Xenopus tropicalis: one gene and its partners. The protein of the gene in region 2 purifies or fractionates together with the protein of the main gene of each other region. This does not show direct contact. Links are inferred from orthologs where the notes say so. Each region holds a gene or a part of one and is shown on either strand. Other genes may lie near its edges. The genes, in order: utp3, imp3 and utp25.

Region 1 (6,346 bases), on a different chromosome or scaffold from region 2:
CCTCAGGGCCTCACCAGGGGTGAGGGGGATTTTTTTTTAAGAATACTAATACAACATCCATGGACACCCATGTAGATATCTATTATATATATCTATAGATAGCAGTGAAAGACATTGTCTCCAAGCTCCAAATTGTGCCACTACGTATGTGTGAGATATTCAACTAATTTTTAATTATTATATTGTTTCTTAACAGGTAGGTTTTTTTTTAGTAACTTTTGTTTGGCATAATGTAAAGAATTTGGTAATGTTCCCCTAAAACAAACAAAAAAAAAACAAGACCAAAGTACATGATTAAAAATAAAACTTTATTATACATATACGAGTAGCGTGTCTTTGAAACTCTTTACTTAAGTTTGATGCTTTTCTTGACACCAGCTCGAATTCCAGACAATTCCCCAGAATATCTGGCTTCTTCTTTACGCACCTCACGGACCTTAAAGATGAAGGTAGGGGTAAGCATTAAACAAATGCTTGAAGTTAAAGAAGCTAAACCTAGTAAACTTTTGCAACACATGCTGAATTTCAAATTGCTAGTCACAGGTTTGGTAAGCCAAGTCTTAAACATAAACACCCCAAACCTATGAGTACTATAGGATGCAATGTCTGTTTTTTTTTTCACCCCCCCCATAAAAAAGGATTATATTCAGTTTCTCCAGCAAATAAATAGATATACCTGGCCCTTTCTGCGAATTTTAGCACGTCGGAATTTTTCCCTGTGTTTAACTCTGGGATTTCGGTCCAGCTTCTTTCTTTTAGGTGTAAGTCCTTTATTCTTTGCAATCTGAAACAACACAATTACCAAAATACATGAAAGTAGAACTATACCATTGGATTAGATATAGGCATTAAATACATGATGATTTTATCATTATCTTCAGTACCCCCACTTAAAAAAATCTACATAAATCTAATGTCAAACAACTTTTGCTATTTTGCTTTCACATAGGTCTCTACATAAGGCTAATGGCACAAGTTGAAAAACACCAGTGAAGAAAACACTGTTTCGATCTCTTTCCACCCCATGTGTGCACACAGGACAGGCTATGAACTGTAAAATAGCTAGTCCTTCTCCAAAGAACACTGGATAGTAAACTAACAAGTGAAGCCTAATACTTTGCTTGATTTTACCTAGCAATAACAATGTGAAATCAATACCAAGTATTTATTAACCTCTGGTAAACAAGTTTCCTATTGAGTGTCTGTATCACAAAGGGGTCACTACGGGTCATACTAATGGGCTGCAAAATGCAGACAAGGCTAAGTATGAAAAGTACTGTTTCCCAGTCAGCCTCAGTGTTGTACAACTGTAGATACACAACAGTCACACGCATAGCAATCTGAGGCGTTACCTGATAAGTGATAGCTCTTTTTGCATTTGGATCCAGTTCCTCAGATGGAAGGTCAGTACTGAAAAGACAGAGTAAAGTATTTAAGAAATGGCACCAAGTCTGCAGTAACCTATACATCATCTAAGACATTGTTCAATTGTCAGATCTTTAAATTTTATCCCATTTCATTTTTTACTCATAATTAAACAGTTGTCCTTTTCTGTTACAATAAGAGAGTGAGAGGTTCCATTTAATTGCTACTTTTTTTTTCTTTATCAACTTATTTTTCATTATGTTTGGGGCCCTGGCATAAACATTCTTAATTTACATAGCATCTAATTAGAGTTCACAGATCCTGGAAATTACATGTGCTCTGTAAAAGCCCATGGAACTTTTCCTGCAAGCGCCTATTTACTGCCACCTGCAGGAATGGCCCATCTTGATATGTTCACCTTGCCTTATGTCACACACAACCTTGTATATATGAAAGCTAAAAAAGTTGCTTACACAAGATTTTCTTCTCCGCGATTCCTCTTCTCTAGCAATTTCTGTTCCATTTCCTTATAGTATTTTAGAGCAACTTCCTCATCAAGGTCAGAATCTTCATCATACTGTATGTCAGGCAAAGGTCTCTGTAAAACACACATAAGATGCCAGCATTTAGCAAAATCGCTATAACAAAGCAATAGAATGAAGAAAAAGGGACAGCAACCCCAGGATATAGAAATCAAACATTATATACAATATAATAATATCTTGTACATGACATTTGTGTGCAGACAGAACTGAGGTTAGAACTAGATCTGAGGGCAGCCCAGGTCAGGGCAGATTGCAGGTGTTTTGATCTCTGCTTTTTTTTTTTTTTTTAGCACAGCATCAGAGTGCCTGAGACAAGCCCATGATACATCAAATGAGTTCAGTGCTAGGAAATCAATGGGAGGTGGCAAGTGGTGATTGGATTCTTTATCTCTGTGCCAGACCATGGCAGACAAAGTGCCCAAAATTCATACCATGTGGAATACGCCTTAGACAACACATAAAAGTTGGCTAAACAAAGCAGCTAAAAAAAGAACTTCTGCTTCAAAGAAACAATTTAACATGTGCAGAAAAATATAAAAAAAAAAGTAATATTTATAATTAACTTCTTCCCACCATAAAGGACCAGCCTGCCTGGTTGCTAGGGTTTTAAACTCTAAAGTAGCCAACTGTAAAAAGGTCCTTGCAGCCCTTCAGAGAGAAAATCATACAGAATCTATACAGTGTTTGCCTAGTAGCGTTAAAATCCTTCAAGTGAAACACATTTGACATTAAAAGTGTATAATGTAGGCCCACTGAGTCTTTTAGCATCATTTTCTGCCAAAGCAATTTAGCTGCCCTCACCTTTGTGGCAGCTTTCTTAGAAGTCTTTGGTAAGCTGGAGGAATTTTTTTGTCCCACTTCAGTTTCGTTGAAATCTTGGGTAAGAAGTTGCTTGATTTCTGAGGACAATCTTTGATCCACAATATTCAAATCGTTTATTAGCTTCAAACATAAAACACAAAGAATATTAATCAATCACTACAAGAAAAGCACAATTTACTGTATAATGCATTATGAATATAGTAACAGTTGTGTTAAATCAGTTGGATAACATGCATGAAGACATTAGGTTAAGCTTGGTGCAGAGTGGTTACCACTTAACAACTCCTCTTGGTATATTACATTGCTTTTCTGCTTAAAGGGCACCTATTACCCCACACCCAATTGTTTCCCCCAACCCGAGTATGGCCTCTATTAGCCTGCACCTCCAGTGGAGGAAACCATCCCTGCCAACCAAAAAAAAAAAAAAAAAAAAAAAAAAAAAAAAAAATCCATGCCAGCGCCAGCCTACTCATACCAGGAGTGAGCAGCCATTTTGTGACACACACACAAGCGCAAAATGAGTACCAAAACTCGTTCATTATGTGCATGTGTGTCATGTAGGTGAATTCACCACTACTACGTCTGGTGCAAGTGCATAATAAGCAAGTGGGGGAAGATTTGCTCATTATGCCTATGTGCGCCAAACAACACGGCTGCCCTCACGGGGAGCTCCCTCCCAGCACAGGGAGACTAGCACTGGCTGGGGCTATTTCTTTTTTTTTTTAAAGAAAAATTATTGTTTCCCCCAACCGGAGTGTGGGCTCTAATAGCCCGTACCTCCGATGGAGAATACAATATGGGGGTGATAGGTGCACTTTAAACGAATTCTTATCAGTGTTAGGCTGATGCCTCATATAATGTATTGTCGGCAAGTGTAAAAACTCTTCTTCTGCTTGTGCCTGTACCCCAAGCACTGAATCCGCACAGGTGCAGGCACATGTAGCCAATATCCAGCACAAAGTCTTGTGTTTGTTGGCAGATATTGCCTGCATATGCCTGCACCTAGGCAGATTCAGTGCTTCCCGGTACAGGCACAAGCAGAAGTGGCGAATTCTCGGCATGCTTTTTTCCACTTGCCGAAAATACGCTACGTGTGGCACCAGCCTTAGCTGTGCAGTTCTCATAGTGTTGCTGCCTCACCCCTTTAATTAATTAGTTAATTAATTTAGAAGCATGCTGCAAACTGAACTGATTTCTGTGCAGCTATACAGCATGCATCTAAATGAATTACTAACTAGGCGTGCAAGATTTTGACGGTTTCACCTTCTGGGGAGTTGACAGAGCCCTTCTTCCCTATATTGCCTATACCCGCAGCACCTCTCTGAATGCTGGTGAATTTATCCATGTTGCTTCTCATCTGTGTATGGCACCCCATCGCTGTGCCTTGGGTACAGGCATGATAGAAAAAATGGGCTCATGCCAAAAAAAAAAAAAAAAAACACATCAGAACATGTTTAATGTTCCTTATACAGAAAGTGTTTTTACTTTCTATTGCAAAACACCAAAATCAACTGATACATACATTAGGAGAGGACTCAGAACTGAGAAAACAATTTGTACACAAGTTAAGTCTTTAATTTAGCACTAGCATGAGGCTAATAGGTCTCTATATAATAGACAAGAGCCATAAATATCCCATAAATATTCTTATAAATGGAGCTTAGCGATGTCATAAGTTATAAACAGTGCTTAGAGATGTAGTTTCTGTCACATGACTCACTGAAACTGGTGTATTATAATAAAGTTACCCCTACTGTAAAATATGAGGATATTAGAAGTCACCTCGGAATTGTAATATCCTTATATTTTAAACAGGGGGTACATTATTTACTATATAAATCACTTATCTTTTTATTATATTTTCCATGCCTTTTTCTAGTCTTACAGCTTACTAAAAAAATAAAAAGTTGAAAATCAAATTGGTTTATCTTTTACTTACATTTCTATAAGTTACAAGCCTTTCTATTACGGGATGACCATGGATGGAGATTCTCTTGGCTTTCAGGATTAAGTAATAGCTGATGTTTGTGCAGTAACTACAAATAAAAGAGCAATATAACCAAATTCACAATGAAGACAAAACAAACTTTTAGAAGGGTGCAAGGGGGAATGCAACCTGCAGCACTTTAGATACTGTTAGATGGCACCTCCCATAATGCTCTTAGTGGGGGATTACATTTCACAACACCCACAGTGCCTTAGGTTACCTACGTCTGACATGAAGGTTTCCTTACTTTAAATATAGCTGGTATTTTGTCTGAAGATATGTACTTCCCTAGAAAACAAATGGAAATAGTTAATGCCTTTTGGAAAAGAGGCAAAAACGCAAATCTTTATTAAGTCATTACATTGATCCCCATCCAGTGACTTGCGAGCAACATCTTGCTCACCACTCCTTCCCACCCTCTGATGATGCTCCCAGTGGCTTCAAAATAGGTGCCCATTTTTATATTTCTAGCTTGGAGGCAAGTTTTGGATGCACAAAGACACACTTTTATTGCAAGCAGAGCCTCCTGCAGGCTAGCAGTCCATATTATGGGGCTACTGAATAGCCAATCACAGCCCTTATTTGGCATCCCCAAAGATTTCATGCTTGTGTGGCTCATCAACACTTTTTACATCTGAGTGTGGCTTATGTGTAAAAAAAAAAAAAAAAGGTTGGGGATCCCCAGGTTATATAACAATTTCTAACAATTTGGTCTTCTTGCACAAAACTGGGGAAGGGTTAACATACAACTGACATGGAAGTGCTCCAGTACCATCTAAACTATGGACTTATGCCCAACAAGTAAAGGCATCACTATATCTTGCTGCTGTTCCATTAAGGACCAGGACATACAGATACAACATTTTCTGTGAAATTTGTAGTATTATGTTTGTACCTGAAGCCAGAAGAGACTGACTACAGTGTCTATAGCTTAGGGGTTCCCAACCTTTCTTACTTGTGAGCCACAGTGAAATGTAAAAAGACTTGGAGAGAAATACAAACATCATAAAAGTTCATGGAGGTGCCAAATAAGAGCTAAGAATGGCTATTAGGTAGCCTCTATACACACTATCAGCTTACAGGAGGCTTTATTTGGTAGTAAATCTTGTTTTTATTCTACCAAAACTTGCCACCAAGTCAAGGATTCAAAAAAAAAATAAAACTACCTGGTTTAGGGGCACTGAGAGCAACATCCATGGGGGTTGGTGAGCAACATGTTGCTCACAAGCTACTGGCTGGGGATTCACTGCAGAGGAAGCAGCCTGCTTTCTTTATATTTATGCCACAGAAAAAAGTCTTAATTATTGCGCACTTCTTCTCCCTGCTATTCACACATGATTATTCACACTATTCACACTGATTCCGATCTACTGGTGGCCGCAAACTACACAGCCTGAAAATACCAGAGGTGCTCTGAGGTCCGAACAGTAGAAAGGCATAATGTCTGCATTTCTGCAAGCAGGCCCAGAGTTCTTAGACGGGTAAACAGTAATATTTTTGCACAGCATCATGTTTATTTGTTACCTTTCCTTTAGGAATGGTTCCATTTTTCACCAGTTTAAGTAGTGGCTCCAGTTCATTTTTTACTTCTGCCAACTAATAAAAAAAAAAGAAAAAAAAAGTTTGT
Region 2 (6,918 bases):
TAAGTATCTGCTAGCAAAATGCCTAATACAATATTGCCCAAGAACAGAAGCTCTGATGCTATGTCCATATATACACATAAACAAAATATAATATATGTGCACATAATAATAATTAACACATCCTTGTGCAATTTAGAGATTTTCCCATGGCATACTTTGTTTGTGAATGCCAATCCATTCTCGGAGATGACATTTTCATTGGAATGGCCGTATCATGTGTCCTAATCGTGTCCAATTTCCCACGATAAAATAGGGATGTGATTATGTAGGGTAGGACAAGCTTCTGTACAGAAAAGAGTTTTAATGAGTATCCAGACAAGCACCTGAGTTACGATGATCATAAATTAGAAGGTTAGCACAGTGAGTGGGCAGCGCTATTGGCCTTAGGAGATGACATTATAAATCCCTACTGTTTGCTCTGCTAACAGCTGCATATAACAGAAATAAACAGTATGAGGACTGACAGGAATTCGTAGGCTATATCTTATCTTTCTGGAAAGAGGAACAAGTCATCTGGAGTTCATTACCTACATGATCAACAATAGTTATAACCATTTCTAATCGCCTCACTAGGACAGTATAAGCAAGTGGCTATGTACATTTTCAAAGATGAATCAGATGCAAGGTGCCTAGATTTCCACAGTATACTCTATATGCTCACTGCCACCTGCCAAGTATAATACCTCTCTCTGTGTCAACTCTTGATCTTGCACATTTCCACACCTGGTGTCTTATACCATCTTCTCCTTTAAGATTGTAAGCTCTATTGATTAGGCCCTCTTCTCCTCCTGCATTGGTCCTAATGCTGAATTTTGACAACCGTCTATCTGCTATACAAAGAACAAGCTGCCATACATGATAACATTCTAGAATTGGCTCCCAAAACAGACAGAAAGTAACACTGTGTAATTTAGATATTGTATACTAAAGATGATGCACCATGTTGTAGAAACAGACACCAAAGTACTTTCGCAGTGACCCTCTAACAAATGCCAGATAAGGGAACTCTTACACCCAAGCCATACCTACCATCAGGTTGTGTTCCCAAAGAGTTGTGTTGGCCAGTATTGCAACACACAAACCAAAAAAAAGTTCAATGCACAATCCGAATAAATGTCTTAATTATTTAATTATCTTTTGTTTAATTATGTCTTGCCTGTCCTTGAGTGAAGTCTGTCCTTAATAAGAATAAACAATTCCAATTACAACATGTTTTTCAAAAAGAGAGAACATCAAATAAGAGGTAAAACCATGTGGAAGTTTGGCTTATCTTCCTACAGAATACAAGTTTATGGGGGGCACACCAAGAATAAAGGTGAACTAAAACTTAATATTTGAAGATGGCTTTCCCACCCTTGCACATTTTCCTTACCCGTTTTGAAAAAGTGCTGTATTTTTGACCTAGAGCAGCAAGCCAAATACAGATCTGACTGCCCAAGGAGCAACAGAGGTGGGGCTGCTTATTATACCTTATAGGTGCTTACGGTCATCCGACTGCCTAAATCATTCTGTAGGCATTTGGCCTGCATAAAAAAGTGGTCAATACACTCCAAACCGTTGTTCAAGAGCTAAATGCAAGTGCAAATTCAAAATATGTATGGTTCAAAATCTATACTTCATATACCTATTTAATAAAAATGACGCGACAAGATGTAGAGTGCTGGCAGCACCCACACAATGGAAAATAAATACCTATAAATGTATATAAAGGATATATTTAAATTTGCAGCCTATCCATTGGGGCTAATAAAACTTCATTTCATACTTACAGTTTCTCTAGGAGCTTTGCAGTACTTTGGACACGAAATTTATCTTTTTCATCCAGGTCTCTAATTTTTTGGGCAAGTTCTCGGATATTTCTACTGAGTTTGTTGTACCTACAGGACAAATGAATAGCAAGAATAAGTGAACTATTAGACCCCTATAGCCAACACAAAATAGGCACTGCAATAAAGGAAATATAAAGGAACAGTTATGAGCATGTTTCTTTGTTAAAGTTTGATGCAAACCTTGTTCATAAATAAACATGGTGACATTGCATAGAAATGCATACAGAAGACAACACTCTTTTAAGCATTCATGCATTATTTGATTACTAATCAAGCTTGCAGCAAGTACATTTCATATAAACCCACTATTTAAGGGATGAGGTTAACACTTCTAGTCTCTTGCCTGAAAAGTACTACATGCTCTTGATATTTTCCATCATCTAAGATCTCATTAGCACAAAATACTGGAATATGGTTTCTGATAGGATAAAACTTGGAAAGCAAGGTTAGGGTTAGAAGGGCCAAAAGGTCCTCTAAATAAAGAAATGTGGAGAAATGTCTTCTGAAAACAGAAGGTGTTCACATGCCTCACCTCAAGCTATACACGTAGCATTGCTCAAACTGTCAAAAAAGTGTGCATATCAATATGTTGAAAGAATGGCAAGTGCCATTCTGCTGGGCAGTGTGTATTAAATACCAACTTGCCCCATGCTATAGCCCTAAAGCCTAATGACACAAAGGACATTTACTGGGCTTTTGGCATCAAGCATTATTTTTACTGGTCAAGTGGCAAACCTACTTGTGGAAGCAAATGAATAATAGGGATCATGCATCATATAAGGCAGTGGTCCCCAACCAGTAGCTCAAGAACAACATGTTGCTCACCAACCCTTGATTGAAGAAGCTCCCAGGGCCTTAAAGGAGGTTCTTATTTTTTTTAACTCAAGGCTTGGAGTAAGTTTTGGTCTCCATAAAATCCACCTGTAGGCTGCCAGTTCACATAGGAGCAACCAAATAACCAATCACAGCCCTTATTTGGTATGCCCAGGTAAATTTGTCATGCTTGGGTTTCACTTTTTACACCTGAATGTGGCTCACAGGTAACAATGTTGGGGACCCCTGATATAAGATATTAAGTAATGTAAACACATGTCACACAACAGTATGCATCTGGGACCACTGAGATTTCAGTGAAAGTCAACATTTTCAGCCTCTGTAAGCAATGCAATATACCACTGTACAGCAACAGAATTAATCACCCCATCAATATATTTCATCAGCAGTGTTTCAATCTAAGGCACCATCACACTGATATTACTATATAAATATGTTACTATTAGAAAAATAAGGAACCCTTCTAATACAAAAAGCAATTTTCTATCCTTGAAGGATCTTCAATCTATTCTTGTATTTAAACACTGATTGCCATTAGACCAGCCTTGCTAATTACATTTTAAAAAGTGTCTCTGATTTGTCATGTGTTTCGGTCAGCATGTTTAATAAACATAACAAGACTGAGTTCAGCTGTTAACAAGAGCCTCTGCGTTCCCGGAAGTAGGCCATATTGTTGTCATGGTGAAAGTGTCATGGCTGCGCCCGTTTCACACGTGTACGAGAGGTATTTATACACTCTAATCGCCATTCTGTAAACAACATATCGGAATGAAACATAGCTGTAATGATTTCGCTTTGACATAGTTAGGCGACACTTACTTAGTATAGTCTTCTCGCTTATCCAAATGGTATTTTCGCAGCACTTTGACTTCATGGATGTTATTATCCACCTCCCAGTTAATAAAGTCTACCTTTTTCAGCAGCTTCTGCTCGTGATACTTTAACTTGCGAACCATTTCGCGTGAGTTACAAAGGCGAAGGAGAGAAGCAGGGCGGAAAGATACGTTTATGCTGCGGGCCCGGGGTACCGCTTGTTCCCCTCTGTGAGGCAGAAGCAGGGATCGGTACCGGAAAGCTCTGTGAGGTCACGGGTAGAGGGCGGGGCCTCCTTGGACAGCTGAGCGCATGCGTATTGCTGAGGCTTGATGGAGTTACTGTATACGCTGTACCATATCTCATACCGTTACTATTTCCCAGCTGTTAATGACAAGGGGTGGTTAATATCTTTCAACATCATTTCCAAGTACACTGTTGTAATATATGTACTGTTTTGAGCACCTAACAGTATATGACAAACCTAGACGTGCATGCTAAATTTTTTACAGATTTTAACTATATAACTGCATTTATTGCCACATTTTCAGTGACTACAGATGATAGAGTGAAACTATCAGTAAACAGATACTATGAACTAACAATGACTGGTCATAGTGCTGCTGCCCTACAAGCATATAAATAAATATGTGGCAATATACTGAAACACTTTTATTGTTATTAATACTTATTTATATAGCACCAGCATATTCTGCATTGCTGTATAATAGAAGGGCAGGATCAGACTGGAAAAAAACCCAGTGAGCCCTGCTAACCCAGACCCCCTATTGCAGCAAGGTTGCTATGAGGTATACCTGCATAGTGGGGGGGGGGGTTTGGGAGGATGGCAGGGGCCCCTAGAGGGAGTGGTGGGCCCCTGAAGTGGCAGCCCTGGTGGGCCCTGCACATTCCAGTTTGGCCCTGTGGAAGGGTGTGCATACATCTAACATATAGGGGCAGATTTATCAAAAGACGAGTTTCGAATCCCGAATGGGAAAAATTCAGATTGGAAACGCAAATTTCTGAAGATCGCAAATATCACGAAAATGCTTACGAAAAAATCGTATTTGTCACGATAATAACGTATTGGCGATCTGAAAGTCACAAAATTTTCGTACCGAACGATTGTAAACAGCGGGCAAACTGATCTGATTTTTTCGCGCTAAATATAGAAAATAGTCGCGCAAGGTACGAAAAAGTCGCGCAAGGTACGAAAAAGTTGCGGAAAATACAATTGAACGAACGCTCAGAGCATTCGTGGATAAGTAAATGTGCCCCATAGATTACATAAAACAAAAAATATATAACCAATATGAGAAGTAAAGAGATACCTGCTCAATAGAGCTTATGATCTAAAAGAGGAAGGGGGTATGAGAAACCAGGTGAAGGGACTTGTATGCAGTTCGTTAAGTCTACTAAAAAATCAAGAAAACATTTTTTAAACCCAATAGGCTTGTTTTGCATCCAATAAGAATTATTTATATCTTAGTTGGGATCAAGTACAAGGTACTGTTTTATTATTACAGAAAAAAAGGAAATCAGTTTTAAAATTCTGAATTATTTGATTAAAATTGAGTCTATGGGAGTTGGACTTTCCGTAATTTGGAGCTTTCTGGATAACGGGTTTCCAGATAAGGGATCCCATACCTGTACTGTCTATGGAAATTAGGGATATTTAACAACTGTAGTTGTTTTGGATGAGAGTTATCACTGTACTTTAAGTTTTTTAACGGACACCACCTGATTGGGACCAATGAAAATTGCGATTCTAGGATATATGCAAAAAGTATTGGGACATTACAAACTGCTTTGTCTTTCTGAGCTTCAAACACAATATTGAAAGGGTATTGAATCCCCAAAAAACAATTGATGAACACTTACAGCAGTTCTCTGAGCACTTTTGCAAGTTACATTTATTAGCAGTTTGCAGGCTTTTGGCACAGCTGTGCATTCAGCAACCATAGGGTTAACTGGATACATGAAGTACATTTAAAGTGCATAGAAAGGTAGGGTTGGTGTCACTCTGATATATATGTCTAAAAACTGCAAATATAAAAAAAACACAAAAAATAGATTATGTATGTAAATGCAAAAGTGCTCAGGAGATAACTCTGAGCAAATTTACGTTTTATTTAGATTCCTTTTAAATTTATCCTGGTTGAGTCCACTAGTACTGTGCAATTTTCCATTTTCAGCAGCCCATTTCAGATAAAGTTACAGCAACAATGACATCAAAAACTTTCTTCTGTGTTCCTCCAGTCACATCCTATTCCAAGTCTCTGGCACTGAGCATGTTGGTTGCACTTCCCTGGGGTGCTGGGAAGCTGGGCACATGTGGAATACCATGGAGGGTATGGAGGTGAAGGTCCATATTGGAAGAAAAGTTAGGAGTCTCTAACTTAAGCAGCAAGGGACTGTGGCTATAGGAAGTACATTGTAATGTCCTGCTGCAAGGCTATTTAAATGAGCCATATTTTATTTGGGGTTTGGTTGCAGTTTAAAAGCACCAAACACCAACAAGAATTCCACAACTTATTTAGAATTAGAGTCCATTCTCTAGCTCAGGACTGTCCAACTGGAAGCCTGTGGGCTGGATGTGGCCCTGTAAAGGATTGTTATGCTCAAAGGCTCCATAGACTACTGTATGACATAATCATTTTAATTGAAAAACATTTTAATTGAAATTGAAATGTTAGGCAACCCCCAGTGCACGTAATTTGGCACCCCCAGTGATTTTACCTGAGTTTATTGATATTGCAACAGAAGTAACAAAAGGTATAGCACAAGTATGCAAATATGCATGCAGCATTGATGTAATTACAGGGATAATTTATAGTGGAACAATTACGAGTTTGAGCAAGGTTAATACTAATACAGTTCATTATCTATTACAGTCTAAATACCAAGAGCCATACAGGACTAGGAAGGTGTATTACTTTGACATCTGTTGCATTTATTCCTTATAAATAAATTAGTTCACAGGAGCACTTACTGTAACACTTCCAAGTGTGCTAAACGCTTGCCGGTTGCCAAACAGCACAGAAGCTTCCGAGGAAGTGGCGGGAGGCCACGAAATGCATTAACTGTATAGTCCACTACGTTACATGCACTTTTCATTTTAAAATGGCTAAATAAACAGTGATTTTTTTTATATAACACCTATTTTTGAGTGCTCTGTATTTGTCGTTATAGTGCAATTTATTCCATATATCTAGGTATTTTGTATAGTTACCTGTTTTGGTGTATAAACCTTTCTCTATTTTACAGAGGTCACCAACTGTTTTGACCGTAACCCATACCAAACAAGGAGATCGTTGCTTGATCAGCCCCCAGAGTAGTGGGCAAATTAGGCCGGTCTAAAATGTTAACTCTTTGGCCATCATTCACTCTTAGGGAGAAGACACACTGAGCTACTAGTATCAGCTACTTTACTGACAATTGT
Region 3 (6,346 bases), on a different chromosome or scaffold from region 2:
TTGGTGTCATTTTTGCAGAGTTACCTGTTGAGGCGGAGAAAGCGGGAGACAATGAGGAGGAGGAGAGAGCTGGGGATCCAGCTGCAGAAGAAGCCGGGGAATTCACTGATGCCAAACATGAATCGAAGTTCAGTTTAGAAACCAATTTTATGGATGAGGACAATGAGGATTCCAAGGATGAGAGTGTCCCCTGTCCCACAGTGGCTACAGAAGGTAACGTTGGCTGTCTCGTGTCTGCTGATGCCTGGTTTGGGGCTGTGTGGGGCATTTGCTCTGTACAGACTGGCACGCAATGAGTCCCAGTGCCCATCCATAGGGGCAAGCAATAAGCAAAATTGGTGTCATTGTGTTGACACCAAAGTGCCAGTTCTTTTCCATGCTTTGTGCTTCCAATTGGCTGGTACAAAATAATTAGCATGATGGGCGCAAAGAGAACCCCACTGTAACCTTAGCCCTGTGCCCCATATCATGGTATTTAAGTCATTAATGGTATAACTGGTGTTTTTTTCATCTGTCTAGAACTGGAAAGAGTTTACATTCTCAGTTACCCTTTAATTGCCTACACGTTGTCATACTAAAGGATCCCTATTAGTATAATATGATAACATTTCTATTTATTTTATCCACGTTTGCCTTTGTTCAGTGAGGTTTTAGTACTCGCTAGCCTTGTCTGAACAGAGCAGTTATACAGCACTCCTTATGGAACTGCCTGATGCTCATAAGAGTAGGGGGCAGAGTAGGGGGCAGAGTACTATTCAGTTGGCTAAAAAAACTGTTCATCATCTGTAAATCTATTGCCTCTTCTAATGGGTATTTTATATTTGCTGCTGCTTTGGAGTTGGGGGTCAGTAAATATGTAGCAGATTCTGACTGATGCCTTTTTTTCTTCTTTACAGACCCATTTGTACAGCATGTTGGCAGGGAACTGGAAGAGCAAGACATCAGTAAGATAGGAACAAATCCTAAAAAAGCATCACTCAAGGTATGGGGACTAACTGGCTTCAATTAAAATTTTGGTTTCTAAAATAAAAAAAAAAAACAGAAAAGAACAGAAGAAGAAGGAAAGGTAAAAACTAAGTAAGCTTTATCAGAAAGGTCTATGTAAATACAGCCATAAGCACTCACAGAAACGCTGCACCGAGTCCTCTATCAAAAGAAACACAGGATTTCTTGTCTTCTTTTGTGTATACATGTTCTTCAGTATCAGGCTTCCTGTATCAGAAAAATCCTTCATTCCTGGGGCCAGAGTCTGCCCTCTCTCCTGCTCCCCCCTCCCATAAAAATTCACTCCCCCTCTCATCAGAATGTGTGATCTGAGCTACCAGCCCCTAAAGCTGCAGCAGGAAACTACTGAGACCAAGCTAAAATGGCAGCTGCTATCTTAAGTAAATGGAGGGAGCTTCTAGGGCTCTTTACTCAGGTATGGTAAAGCTTTCTGCAGAATAAATATTACATTCTAGCTGGCACTTATGTGGCTAATCTATTGTTAATAAATGCTAAAATGACTTTCCTTCTCCATATATTTATATGACAGAACCATTGGGTTATTGTCTCACTCATTTGTATACCTGACGTTGTATGTAATTGTTTCATTCCTTGGCATCCCTTGTTCCCTTTTGGTTTCAGTGGCCGGCCTTGGGTCAGCTGGGTGTCTCGAGCTCTCTTCCTCAGCTCCAGCCCCTAAAAGTCGAGAAGGAAACTGACCTACAGAAGCTGTATTTGCACAAGCCGCTCTTCTCCACGTGGCCCAAAGTGAACAGTCCCTTCCTGTCTGTTGATAAGGAACAGAATTTCACCCCCCTACAGAGAGAGCTTTTCAGTATCATGAACTCCTACAGGGACTTGTTCTTCCCGGCACGGAGCCCTACAGCGCAGGGCGAAGAGATCAGACATGTGTACTGTCTCCATGCGCTGAACCATGTTCTGAAAGCAAACGCCCAGGTATTGAATAACAACTCTCAGAAAAGAGATCAAAAACCCGGACTGGATGAAGAAGACCTAAGGGACCAGGGCCTGACCAGACCAAAGGTATCACATGAATGGATTACTTTTTATTAAAGACCAGTGCCCGTACTCTTAAAGGACATGTTAACCCCCCACAAATAAATTTAATCAGTGACCAGCCTCTTTGAAATCTTAAATAGCTGCCCTCTGGGTGTCCAAAGGTTAATAGTAAGGCTGCAGCATCCCTTTAATCACTTAGGATTCCTTCTTCTCCTGTAACTCACTTGGCCCCTCCCTCAGGAACTGACTTTGGCTCTTGGCTACTGAGCATGCTCAGTTCTTCTTAACTCAGGTTACCAAAGACACCCTTCAGTGTAGCAGCCAATGACGAGATGGCGCTGCTGGTTTCCATAGAAACTCTGCTCTAGCTGTGCCCTCTGCTGGAGATATTTCTTCTAACCTCCTCTCCTGAGCTCAGCTTAACCATTACTCAAATGCTCAATCCAAGTAGGACTTTTTTATCAATGTAGGTTCTGCCTGTGTAAGCCTGCATTCTTCATTGCATGAACTTGCACGTGCTGTTTGGAGATGTAAATGTCACTGAAGATGTGTGAGAGTGAAAATGGCCACTGGGTGAAAGCTGCTGTTTGTTTTAGGAAAATGTTATGTGCTGGAGAGCGGAGGGGGTATATGCAGTACAAGTGATGTGGTTAGTGTGGGGAAGATATGCCTAACTTATATAGTATCTAGTAGAATTAAGTCTAAAACAACTGGACTTTTCCTTGAAAACATTTCACCTTTCATCCGAGTGGCTTCTTCAGTTCCAATGACTGGTAGGGAATTCCCCGGCATTTAAACCCTTGAGGGGGTAAGTACAGTCACAGACATCCCTCAAGGGTTTAAATGCTGGGGAATTCCCTACCAGTCATTGGAACTGAAGAAGCCACTCGGATTTCAAGGAAAAACTCAGAAAAGTCCAGTTGTTTTTAGACTTAATTCTACTAGATACTGTATATCATGACCTGGATGAATGAGAATCTTCATAGGCCTTACTTATAAACATGGTAGGAAAATGTAGGGTTTGCATGTGCTGTAATAATAATAATATTGCATATTGGGTAAAGAAATATGTATTAAGGTGCCTCCAATCTATTGGTTTTCTTTCCACCGGCTATGCAGTATACCATAATACACATTTGAACCAGATAATGACACTGGGTTGCTTTATTGTGCTGGGCCAATCAAAGGTCAGGAGCATATGATACATTGGCCTTGCCATAGGAGTCATCATTTGGTATCCAATAAAATACTCCATATGTACACAGGGTCACAGCAGAAAAATGCTTTCCCACCGTAAGCAACAAATCTCCCCTTCTGCCAACACCCTAACCCAAAAATGTTCTGTTCAGTGTGAGTACAGCTCTCAGGGGCATTGCTGGTCTGAATAAAATGGCTTTAATCCGCTTTAAGAGCCACACATAATTCCTGGCTATACTGTCTATTAGTATTAGTACTATACTGTCTATCAGCTATAGGGAAGGGCAGCCTTTTAATGGGATCTGCGCTGAAGCTACAGGTTGCTGACTTGTACATACATATAGTTTTTTGTTTGGAGGTAGTAAAAAAGCAATGTCCATTTCTTCAATACCATCCTAAAACTGAAAGGGGGACAAAACAAGCATTGTATTGAGTAAACATGTAAAATGAAATCCTTTCCGTTTAAAGACTGCATAGTGTTTTAATGTTTTCAGGTCCTCATTGTTGTGCCGTTCCGAGAATCCGCCTTACGCATAGTGCAGATATTAATAAGCCTGATGGAGGTCGGAGGCAGAAAAGTCGACGTGAGCAATAAGAAGCGGTTCAAGGAAGAATTTGGATCGGAACCCGAAGACAGACCCCCAAACTTGAAGAGGCCTGAAGATTATGAAGCTGTGTTTGCTGGAAACATTGACGATCACTTTAGGATAGGTAAAGCTGTCCTGTTGCACTGGATATTTGTGTTAAACAGGCCCCTCTGTATCATGTTGAATGAGAACCTCCCTTTGCAGCTTGCTGTAGAATGCCCCCCATCATAGTCAAAACGTAGGCAGATCATCCCATTTGGCAATACCGAGTGGTAGTTCATCGGCGGATAGTGATATTATACTCTTGCCAATGTCTTATTAGGAGTGGCCATCTTGCAGAAGAGCATGAGGCTGTACTCTCCATTCTACTCCTCGGACATCATTATCGCCTCCCCCGTTGGCTTGCGTACCATCATTGGCAGCGAGGGGGAGAAGAAAAGGGATTTCGATTTCCTGTCCTCCATAGAGGTTCTCATTCTGGATCAAGCAGATTTGTACCTGATGCAGAACTGGGAGCATGTGTTGGTAAGTCATTTTGGTCACTAGGCTTTTGCATTGTTTGCTGGATCACAAATCACTATTTCATATATATATATATATATATATATATATATATATATATATATATATATATATATATCATAATTTGCATCACAGTGCAAATCATATATAGTTAACCAATCCAATGGTATATAGTGTTCATACATAAAAAAGTCAGTGTGATTTCTCTCTCTCACCAATAGGTGCCAGTATACGCATGTGTGACTTATTCAGTTTGAAATCCATAGAATGTGCATATGGTGTAAACATCTATAACAAAACATAATTTTTTTTTTATATACACAAAATACGATTCCCTTGTATGTCTCTCATTTCAAACTTATGTTAGCCACCTTGACTACGTATTCACACAGTATATTTAACCTAGGAAACAACCGAGCATTCAGCACCCATCTGGTTTAGAGTGCAGACACACAGCTTGACTTATATATATATATATATATATATATATATATATATATATATATATATGTGTGTGTGTGTGTATTATATTTGTCACTCTCTGATATCATTCCCTTCTGTTGCAGCACCTGATGGCTCACCTTAACCTGCAGCCTACAGACTCTCACGGGGTTGATTTCTCTCGTGTCCGCATGTGGAACCTCAGCAACTGGGCCAAGTACTATCGGCAGACACTGCTGTTCAGCTCCCTGCAGGAGCCCCAAATAAACTCTATATTCAACAAGCATTGCTTTAATTACTGCGGGCAGGTAAGCGCCATCTGTTTAATGTCCTGCCTTTATATTGGGGTACTTTATGTTACTTGCCTTTTGAAAGGTATATTGTTCATTGTGAGGATTTGCACTGGGCACTGATATTGGGCACTGATATTGAAAGGCCAGGTAATTGGTAAACTAGTCTGCACAAGCCTGAAACTGGCAGCAGAGTGAGGAAAGAGCGGGTAGACAAAGCAAGAGGTAAGTGATGTCAAATTTCCTACCCCTATGGGTAGTTTTAGTTTCTCTCATTAAAAAAGAAAATAAATCCTATGTACAGACTGTATGTATTTCCTTATTTAATCACTTATTTATGTAATTGATCGTCTCGATTTTCTTGTAGGTGGCAGTTAGGAACATGCCCGTTACTGGCTCTATCAGTCATGTTGTGGTCCAGCTCCCACACGTCTTCCAGAGATTAGAGGCAGACAGCCTGCTTACTGTTATAGATGCAAGGTAATTGCCCAACTGCCCCAGACTGACAGGGTGCTGGCATCAAAGAACGTTCACCCAGCACACCCTTACCTCCTCCAACAATTCCTACTCGGTGCACAGCCCAGAGAGTCAACACTCCCAACACAGTCCAGCAAAAAATAGTTGACTGGCACAACGAGTACAATGCAAGCGGGGCTTAGCCCCTGCGTGTTTATTAAAAAAATAGCAGCAAAGCATGATGCCTGACGAAGGGGTACACCCCCGAAACGTTGCTGCTATTTTTTGAATAAGGGTGCTGGCATCTCCACTCATTGTCATTATTTAATTGGTACCAGGGCAAAGACATTAAAACCCATAGGACTAAGGCATTAAATTAGTGATATATATGCAACCCTGATGCCACAATATCATGTTCTGGCCCTTTAAACCGTATTGCCTAATCTTTATTAGCTGTTCTGGCGCAGACCTGTGGCATTTCAGTGTATGTCACAGGACCTCCCAGTCCCAGTACTGAAGGTGCAGATACATGGGTCAATACATGAGTAGTTCTTAAGATGCAAATAAAGGGGAGGTGACCCATGATAGTTTGAACTGCCAATGCTTGAAATGTAACTCAAGGCATTGATACAATAGGGCTCACTTATGACTGCAGCTGCAGGGTGCAAAGTACAATTTTGGACACAACTGCTCTGTCTTCTTCCCACAATGTAATGGTTTTTTTTCCTATAATTCCTGGTGGTCACCAGGGGGCGTTGCACTGACACAATTGCAGCCAACGTATTAACATTGATATAGTTTTCTTTTACACTTTGAATCAAATACAATTGCACTAAAAAGGTTCTAAAT

Evidence for each region.
Region 1: the proteins of imp3 (region 2) and utp3 purify together in Homo sapiens (affinity purification with mass spectrometry; 3 studies listed by BioGRID and IntAct, with this or other methods). This does not show direct contact. The link is inferred for Xenopus tropicalis from reciprocal best matches to the Homo sapiens genes IMP3 and UTP3.
Region 3: the proteins of imp3 (region 2) and utp25 purify together in Homo sapiens (affinity purification with mass spectrometry; 3 studies listed by BioGRID and IntAct, with this or other methods). This does not show direct contact. The link is inferred for Xenopus tropicalis from reciprocal best matches to the Homo sapiens genes IMP3 and UTP25.

The regions. Positions count from the first base shown.
Region 1 is NC_030683.2:94,842,272-94,848,617, reverse strand, and holds the end of utp3 (something about silencing protein 10), read right to left. Parts: intron 6,316-6,346; coding exon 6,244-6,315; intron 5,008-6,243; coding exon 4,967-5,007; intron 4,769-4,966; coding exon 4,672-4,768; intron 2,853-4,671; coding exon 2,712-2,852; intron 1,964-2,711; coding exon 1,839-1,963; intron 1,411-1,838; coding exon 1,353-1,410; intron 785-1,352; coding exon 677-784; intron 437-676; coding exon 347-436; 3' UTR 288-346; downstream 1-287. UniProt on the Homo sapiens protein: Essential for gene silencing: has a role in the structure of silenced chromatin. Plays a role in the developing brain. Part of the small subunit (SSU) processome, first precursor of the small eukaryotic ribosomal subunit.
Region 2 is NC_030680.2:118,011,849-118,018,766, reverse strand, and holds the start of imp3 (U3 small nucleolar ribonucleoprotein protein IMP3), read right to left. Parts: upstream 3,784-6,918; 5' UTR 3,620-3,783; coding exon 3,483-3,619; intron 1,878-3,482; coding exon 1,770-1,877; intron 1-1,769. UniProt on the Homo sapiens protein: Component of the 60-80S U3 small nucleolar ribonucleoprotein (U3 snoRNP). Required for the early cleavages during pre-18S ribosomal RNA processing. Part of the small subunit (SSU) processome, first precursor of the small eukaryotic ribosomal subunit.
Region 3 is NC_030681.2:15,271,169-15,277,514, forward strand, and holds part of utp25 (digestive organ expansion factor homolog), read left to right. Parts: intron 1-18; coding exon 19-213; intron 214-896; coding exon 897-982; intron 983-1,626; coding exon 1,627-2,028; intron 2,029-3,695; coding exon 3,696-3,912; intron 3,913-4,110; coding exon 4,111-4,313; intron 4,314-4,876; coding exon 4,877-5,059; intron 5,060-5,408; coding exon 5,409-5,521; intron 5,522-6,346. UniProt on the Homo sapiens protein: Component of the ribosomal small subunit processome for the biogenesis of ribosomes, functions in pre-ribosomal RNA (pre-rRNA) processing. Essential for embryonic development in part through the regulation of p53 pathway.